Linked DNA regions of Callithrix jacchus. The protein of the gene in region 1 interacts with the protein of each later gene in a biochemical or structural test. Links are inferred from orthologs where the notes say so. Each region holds a gene or a part of one and is shown on either strand. Other genes may lie near its edges.

Region 1 (3,796 bases):
AACCTCCACCTCCCGGGTTCAAGCGATTCTCCTGCCTCAGCCTCCCGAGTAGCTGGGATTACAGGCATCCGCCATCATGTCCAGCTAATTTTTTGTAATTTTAGTAAAGACAGGGTTTCGCCATGTTGGCCAGGATGATCTCGAATTCCTGACCTTGTGATCTGCTGGCCTCAGCCTCCCCGAGCGCTGGGATTACAGGTGTGAGCCACTGCACCTGGCCCAGCTCTGCCTTTTACCAAAACTTTTGTGTTCAGGGAGCTTCTCTGTGCAAAGCCCAGGGCTTGGTGCTGGGGCCAGGGTAGGGTAGTTCAGGGCTTGGTGCTGGGGCCAGGGTGGGGTAGTTCAGGGCTTGGTGCTGGGGCCCACAGAGGCACAGGAGTCTTATCTCTGGTGGTCCAGCTGGGTGCTGGGTCCTGGATGCCCCTGCCAAGGGGCACAGAGCAGCTGCTTGATTCAGGATTGGGATGGGGTTGGAGGTGGTGGCCGGACACTTCCCCAGGTGGCCCTGGGATTTTACTGGAGCTGCCCACCTGGCCTCCAGATTGGCAGGAAACAGTGGCTTCAACCTGGGGGCAAGACTGTAGGGGGAGGTGCATGGGGTAGGAAGAGGTCAAAGGTGAAGGGCTAGCCCACTCCCCCTCTGGAGTTTCTGGTGGCTGGACTGGTGGACACTCGGTCAGGCGGAAAGCGTCAACACCAGCTTGGGGCGACCCCAGGGTGACAGGTGTGTGATCCCCATTCCTCACTTTTCTGATCTGCTGTTGTGCCAAGGGAGGTGGTAAAGACGGAGCCAGGTTGGTCCCTATTAGGGGCAGGGGCTGGGAAGAGGTGGGTAACTGGGGCGTCCTCCCCCAGCTCCAGGTGGCCCAGGATGACTGTGAGGCCTGTGGGCCAGAGGCCTGGGCTGCTGTCCTGGCTGTGGACGGATCCTCTGTTCTGTTTGCACTGGAGCTCTTGTCTGGGACGAGGACTTTATTTCTGGAAACTTGTCTGACGAATTCAGATAGCCCTGATGGGGAGCCAAGCGTCAGTGGAGAGCAGAGCCTGTGTCTCTGTCATCTGGGATGTCTCACAGCCCTCCAGGCTTCTTGTTAGAAGTCCGGAGCTCTTGCCCCATGCTCTTGTGGGTGTCAGAAAGTTGTAGATTATCCTGCAATTTCAGTGTGTTCCGAGAGGGTGTGATTCCTGCTCAGAGGTTCAGGAAACACCAGCAAGGTCCACGGTGGGCTCTTCCCTCCACAAGGGGGGTACTCCATGCAGGGGGCGATGGGGAGATCTTGGTTCCCTCAGCAGGGAAGGCCAGTCCTCGAGGGCACCTGGGAGTCCCTGAGCTTCTCCAGCCCCTGGGGGTTGGGTCCTGTTTCTCGCTGAATAAAAGATAAAAGACATGACACACTGGGACTCGGTTTTCAAAAGGCAATGTGCCTGGGTTTCTGTGATAGCTGCATGAGGGACTCAGTCCCCTGCCAGGGTCTAAAGAGGAGCCTTTGACTATAATCCCTGGCCAAGTCACGCCTGAAGGTCTGGCTTCCACTCCTGGCACCGTCAGGGTCTGGGGGGAGGTCTGACTGGGTTCCTTGACCTTCATGAAGCTGGCGGGCCTGAAGTGACCTGGCTGTGCCCACCCCCAGGGTCATCCACATTTGGGTGAACTTGAACGGGTGCCCGAGCAGGTGTGGTTGCCTGGCTTCCCACAAGAGGGCGCTTTCTCTTCTGACGTTTTTGGCCTGATTCTTTCCAGCCAGGTGGTAGTGCTTTCTTCTCTGTGCAAGGGAGCTCTTGGTGGTAGTTTATTTAAACTATGTAACATTGTGGTTAATGGTTCTCTTTTGTGTGTGTGGGCGGGTGGGGCTGTCATATTGTCTTTGGGGAAAGTTTCGTTGATCTAATCAATGATTTGGTTAATCAGTAATCATTATTCAGTTGATTCCAGTATGCCCCCCCTGTAACAGGAGCCCATGTCCCCCCGCCCCAGGGACATCTTCATCACCAGTGTGGATGCCGCCACCACCTTCGAGGAGCTCTGTGAGGAAGTGAGAGACATGTGCCGCCTGCACCAGGAGCACCCACTCACCCTCAAGTGGGTGGACAGCGAAGGTAGCCCTTGTCCCGCGTCGGCCAGCGTCCTCAGCCTCAGGGACTTACTTCGCCGGGAGCCTCTGTGTGCAGAGTCTGCTCAGCCTCTTCTGTGGGGAGACTTAAAACCCTGAAATTAAGCTTGTTGAAGCCGAAGTTTCCCCAGCGGGGATGGTGGGAAAGAGGGTGGCCGAAAATGCTTAGAGCAGACCTGTGCCCAGATGCCGCTTGGTCACCAGGAGGGGCTGCAGGGGTCTCCCTAGCCCACCCCCTCCTCTGACTGCCCTTCTCATGTCCTGGGCTTTTCCGTAGGTGCCTGTGTGAGGACGGGCTCTTCATTTTCTCTATTATTCTTCTCCCTAACATATTCTATCACACACAGGCTTTTCATTTTCTGGGGACCAAGGGGAGGGCACATGCATCCAGGGCCTGCAGGCTCCATCTCCTCTCTTAGTCAGACACACATCCTAAGAAGCGAGGGGATTGGGAGACGTGCAGAGAGACCCCTTTCTCCAGGGACCGGCAGGCAGCTGTTGGCCGAGGACACGGCAGTGCAGGCGGAGCCTGATGGCGCTCCTGTTAGGTGGGGTGCAGCCCTGCAGGGGGTGGGTTCTGTACCCCGCCGTGTCCCTGTCCAGCCGTAGAGGGCGAGGAGCTTTCCCTCTGCCCAGGAGAATGTCCTCAGATCTGCTCACTGCTGAGCCCTCCAGGCAGCGTCCAGAGCTGTGGGTGGACTGACTTCCCTTCCCGGGTATGGACTCTGACACGGCATGGGGGCTGGGTGACTCTGAGTGTGGACAACTGTCCTTGGACCTCCCAACTCTGCCAGAGGTGGCTGGTCTGAGCAGTGAGACTTTGCCCCCAGACTCTTATCCAGTGTGCTCAGGGGGCCTGTCACGGCCCCCTTTGCCTCAGGCCTTCAGTGACCTCAGCACTGTCTGCTGCCCTGCCCAGGTGACCCTTGCACGGTGTCCTCCCAGATGGAGCTGGAGGAGGCTTTCCGCCTGGCCCGTCAGCACAGGGACGAAGGCCTCATCATCCACGGTCAGTGGCAGGGTCTGTGGTGGGCGGCTCTGGGGGGCTGTTCCTGGCTGTAGGTGTCTGCCAGACCACCTGGGGGGTTGGAAGCCATATAGGATCATGGTTTAAAATCCCATGATGCCAGAGGCTTTAGGGATGTCTAATGTAATGCCATGCAGTTTTTTTGCTCTTTGACATTTTATGAGCCCAAATGAAAACTGCTCTTGTGAAGAGCCCGTAAGCTGCTCAGAGGCTCCAGTGGCCAGCGTGGGGCCTGCAGATGGTGGGGACGGCCCCACCAGCCACCTCGCCTGCCCCGTGCTCTCTGGGCCTGTCTGCAGGTTCACAGCTGTCCTCAGCTTTAAGTTCGAAGCCCCATGATGAGCTGATACATGGGAGATGTGACTTGTCATTTCTACTGCCTTTGGGGGCACTTTAGCTGCTCCCAGTCCTGCCGGGGGTCTATGGGGCGTCTGTGGGGCCTGCTAGTGTGGTTCCAGCAGCTGTGGCCAGCCAGCCACATCTGTGTCCACTTCTGGCTGGCCACTGACCACTGAGCTGAAGATGGGACGAGAGCTGGGGCCGCCCGCAGTTCCTGCAGGTCCATCATTCTCCTGGACACCAGGCTACTTAGTTACAATACTTAATCTTTGTAGCCCTTTACATCTATGTGGATTTAGATTTAAAGCTTAGTGCAGTG
Region 2 (4,534 bases), on another chromosome or scaffold:
AATGTTTCAGGAAACCACTGAAACCCCAGCAGAAAGAGCACAGAACAGAAGGCCGCCTGCTGCTGCTGTCACTGTGGTCTGAGGGACGCTCCAGTGCCCAGAGCCCAGCTGCAGGGACATCAGCAGGCAGGAAGGTGGCTCCGCCTGTGGAGTCACGGAGATAAAGCCAAGAGATATTTTGGAGAAGAAAAGCTGTTTCTGATGTTAAAGCAGGTATCCAAAATAGGACCCAGTGTTCCAGCTTCCCGGCCTGGGCTTGAGTGACTTGAGCTGGGACCCGGGTGCACCTGCATTCACTGTCACCACCCGTGCTCCTAGGGCAGCTGTCCAGCCTCCCACACCCACTCGCTCATCCTTGACTTAAAGTGAGGTTGTGGGGACGGAAAAATCCGAGAAGCACACTTTACCTCTGACACCCTTTTCCCTGCCCCTTCTCACCTTCAGCCTCAAATTCCTAGAACCCTCCTGCCCTCTCCACTTGAAAATCTCTCCTGAGGAAAGGCCCAGACTAAATGCTTTGTACCATCGTCTAAATATTTCTCTTCAGTTAAGCAGCATTTGAACACAGTTGCTAAATCTTCCGGGTCTTCCGGGGAGGCTGGTTTTAGGCCGCAACCCCGACCCCCGCTGGAGCCGCCTCGCAGCGCGGCCCGGACAGCGCTCAGTCCTCTCCCTCACCTCCTGACGAACTGTGGGTCCCAGGCTGCCTCCGGAAGCCCCGGGTCCAGATCCCTGAGTGGGGGTGCAGGTCAGGAGGAATGCGGGGGCTCATTCGGGGACTCCCCACCTCCTCCTCCTCCTCCATCAGGTGACCGAGAATCCAGGGAAAGATCTCCCTGACCACCAACTGTGTGTGCAGGTCAGTTTTTCTGTTTAACAGTAGAGTGACGAAGACCACGACGCCTCCGTGCCGCGGGACCAGGCGGCTTCCCCGCACCTGGCGCGTTTGGCTGTCTTGTCCGCGCGGACTTCCTGCGCCCCTCCTGCAGGCGAAGGTGCGCTCCCGGCGCCCAGCGGAGCACCTGCCGGCCGCAGGTGGGCCTGGGCGGGGCTGCAGGGGAGGGAGGGCGCGCCTGGGAGGACCTGCCCGCTCCTCCCGCCTCCAGGGCGGGCTGACCCTCCTCCTGCAGGGTCGGGGCCGCGCCAAGTCCTTCAGCAGTTTCTGGGGTTTCCAGCCCCTGAGGACAAGGGGAGATGCGGCCTCGCTCCCCTCCGGCAAGGTCGGGGTCCGGGTGAGTTCGGAGGCCGAGCCACGGGGGAAGGGTCTCGGGCGAGGCTCCAGGCCGCCCCTTCTCCGAGGCCCGACCCTGAGCGTGAATCCCGTGCGACCCCCCCCCCCGGCTCCGAACTCCGCGTGGGCAAAGCGGGCCCGGGGGCCTCGGAGCTTCCCGGGAGGCCGCGTCGGGGGTGGGGGGACGGGCCCGGCGGGCTGGGCCTGTGTTTACCTGGCGCGCAGGAAGCCCGGGGAGGCGGGGCCGGGAGCGGAGTGCGCGCCCGTCCCTCGGAGCCGCCTTCAGTCTCCGCCGCCGCGCACCCGCGAGAAGCCGCCTCCCGCCCCGGCGGCCTAGGGCTCCCGACCCCGGAAGGCGGTGCAGGCTGTCTGGGGACCCCGCGAGCCGGCGCTTGAAGCCGGGACCTGCGCGCCCGGGCCTGGGACCCCGCGGCACCCCTCGGCCTCTGAGCAGCGAGCGCAGCGCCGGTGAGTGACCCTCGGGGGCGGGTGGGGGGCGGCTCTGGCGCCTTTGTCTCCGCGCCCCTCCGAGCGGGGACCGCGGAGACCTGGGCGGGTACCCGGGGCCGATCCCCGCGGGAGCCGTGGACTGAGAGTTGGGAACAGGAGCTGTCCCGGCGCCCGGACTCCGAGTCCCTTTCTCGGCCGAGAACGCGCAGGGGGAACCTGGGCAGTAGCGCAGGTGACCGGGCAGGTGGCAGCCGGGGGCCCCTGACCCGAACCCACGGCCCTGTCCCCGATCTCTACTGCGAGGGGGCGGGCGCGGGTGTAGACTCGGGTTTACTGCGCCGGGGTGGGATCCTGACAGGTGTCCAGGGTGGTCTTCAGCCAGGCCCGGCGTCCCGGGGTCGTAGAAACCGCTGGGCCTCGGGCCCCGGGGCTGAGGGGAGGAGTCTCGGGTGGGAGGGACGGCGGTCAGAAGCGGCCACTCAGGTGCGGAGAGGGTGCGGGCGGCGAGGGCGCGCTGGGGGGTCCTCCGGGCGCCTGCCAATCACGTCCCGGCTGCTCCCCCCCGAGGTGAAGCGCAGTTTCCCTCCGAACTCCGAGAGCGGCGGCGAGAGCCTGGGTTTGGGCTTCCGCCTTCTCGCGGCCTGTCTCGGGCTCCTCGGCTGGCCAGTCGCTGCGCCCACCTGGACCCACGTGCGCGCCCGCAGCTGCCGGTCCTCCCTCGCGGTGCTGAGCGCTGGGCTCGCGGGGCCGGGGTCTCCCCGGCTGCCCCTCCCGGGCCCGACGGCCTGTCCTGGGCCGGGGGCGTGGGGTGCGGGGTGCCCCCGAGGCCGGCGTATGTGACCGCGCAGTCATTTGCCGCCACCCTAGGTCTTCCCGGGCGCCGGGGGCAGCGCCTGTGCCCTTTCGCGTCCACCTGAACCCCCTGTTTCGGGAGGTGGAGTGGGGCTCGGGAAGGGGTTCAAGTGTCTTTAGGGATCCCTGTGCGACTCTGCCTGGAAACAGGCGCGTTCTGGTTCCTTGTTCCGTTTTCCGATTGCAACAACGTGAGAATCAACAAGTGCTCGGCTTCTCTGCGGGTGGGTGAGGGGCGCGTGGCTCGCCCGGCTTTGGGAGGGCGTGGACTTCGTTCCTGGGAGGTCTCTGCCTCATCTTGACCGCAGAACGCCCCGCCTGGAGAGAGAGCTTTTCAGAGGAAGGAAAGGTCAGGGAACAGCCAGTGTGTGTTTTGGACATTTTATTTGGTGAAGCTCCGGGGGATGGGTTAAGGAGGGTCACGCTCATGTTAGGGACCACATGGATGGAGTAGGGTCCTGAACTGAGCTCCCTGGCGGCCACCTCCAGCGATGGGTGCCTCCTTAGCCTCCTTAGCGGTTGGGACCCCGGGCTATGGATACGGCTCAGAGCCTGGAACCCAGCAGCCCTTCAGTAGAGGAGGGAAGGCCATGATCTGAAACCAGGCCGGCAGCCAGGGAGGGGATGCTCCCACGAGCCAAGGGATAAGGCACCACGCCAGAGGCTTTTTTTTTTTTTTTTTTTTTTTTATCAAGTGGGTTAAACAGAAACCTGAGTGAAAAGAATCCAGTTAAAAATGGTTGTAAATGCTGGAATAACTCTCAGGGAGTTAACTGTTCTCGAACAACCACCTCTGTTAACTCCGGGTTAAACAAAGCTATTCTGTTGTCATCTTCTTTGAAAACTCTCCAGAAGTATCGCAATTCTGCCCAGCGATAAGGAAGTGAAACATGCGTCACTTGATATAGATCTGGCAGCTCGTGGCTCCAGCTTGATTTGAAACGTCCGCTTTGAGTGTGGTGGGTCCCGGCTGTGGGCACTGATGAAAGGTGGCCACCGAACGCTGGGGGGAAAAGAGACCAGCCTTTCTCCTGACGTTTCTATTTCTGCCTGAATTTGTAAATGTTAATTGTAAGTTATTTTGTTTGACTTTTATCCCCAAGTTCTTTAAAAATACAGAAATTATCTGGGCGTGGTGGCAGGTGCCTTAATCCCAGCTACTTGGGAGGCTGAGATCTCTCGAACTTGGGAGGTGGAGGTTATAGTGAGCTGAGACCATGCCATTACACTCCAGCCTGTACAACAAGAGCAAAATTCTGTCTCAAAATAAAAAATAAAAAAAAGACATGCTTAAGATTAGCAGCTGCCTCTGTGCCTTTTCTGACCCCAGGGAGTGTTTATCGAGCACTTGCACATTGCCAGGCTCTCTTCTGAGAGCTGTTTGTCACCTCAGTTAACAGTTGTGATGGCCCTAGATACCCTCATTGGAGGTCACCGTGCTTTTCATATCTTCATTTTGACTGATGAGGAAGCAAGGCCCAGAGAGGTTAAGTTAGTCTAAGGGCACCCAGGAAGAGGCAGGATTCTGCCCAGGGAGTCTGCACCAGCGCCTCACTGCTGCTCTGCCCCGCTGTGGTGAACAGAATGCCTTGCAAAGGTGCTTATCATTCCTCCTTTTAAACTTCCACCCCTAATGATGAGTGGCGTGCACCCAGGGATGTTTCCTTTCAAGAATCATTTGACCAAAAGGTTCCTGTCATCCAACTTTGTTCATGATCCTCTCCTTAGCTTTCTTAGTTGCCAATGAAAAAGAAAGTATTCTAATTACTAATTACTCTTTTTTTTTTTTTTGGACGGTGTCTTGCTCTGTTGCCTAGGCTGGAGTGCGGTAGTGTAGTCTCAGCTCACTGCAACCTCCACCTCCCAGGCCCAGGTGACTTTCCTGCCTCCGCTTCCTGAGGAGCTAGGACTACAGGTGTGCACCACCACACCTGGCTAACTGTTGTATTTTTTGTTTGTCCGTTTGTTTAGTAGAGACAGGGTCTCACCATGTTGGCCAGG

What was found.
Region 2: of the proteins of PRKCZ (region 1) and MBP, one has a biochemical effect on the other in vitro, tested with the Homo sapiens proteins (2 studies listed by BioGRID). The link is inferred for Callithrix jacchus from reciprocal best matches to the Homo sapiens genes PRKCZ and MBP.

Annotation. Positions count from the first base shown.
Region 1 is NC_133508.1:40,123,749-40,127,544, forward strand, and holds part of PRKCZ (protein kinase C zeta type), read left to right. Parts: intron 1-1,952; coding exon 1,953-2,097; intron 2,098-3,030; coding exon 3,031-3,120; intron 3,121-3,796. UniProt on the Homo sapiens protein: Calcium- and diacylglycerol-independent serine/threonine-protein kinase that functions in phosphatidylinositol 3-kinase (PI3K) pathway and mitogen-activated protein (MAP) kinase cascade, and is involved in NF-kappa-B activation, mitogenic signaling, cell proliferation, cell polarity, inflammatory response and maintenance of long-term potentiation (LTP).
Region 2 is NC_133514.1:119,560,649-119,565,182, reverse strand, and holds the start of MBP (myelin basic protein), read left to right. Parts: upstream 1-1,515; 5' UTR 1,516-1,699; intron 1,700-4,534. UniProt on the Homo sapiens protein: The classic group of MBP isoforms (isoform 4-isoform 14) are with PLP the most abundant protein components of the myelin membrane in the CNS. They have a role in both its formation and stabilization.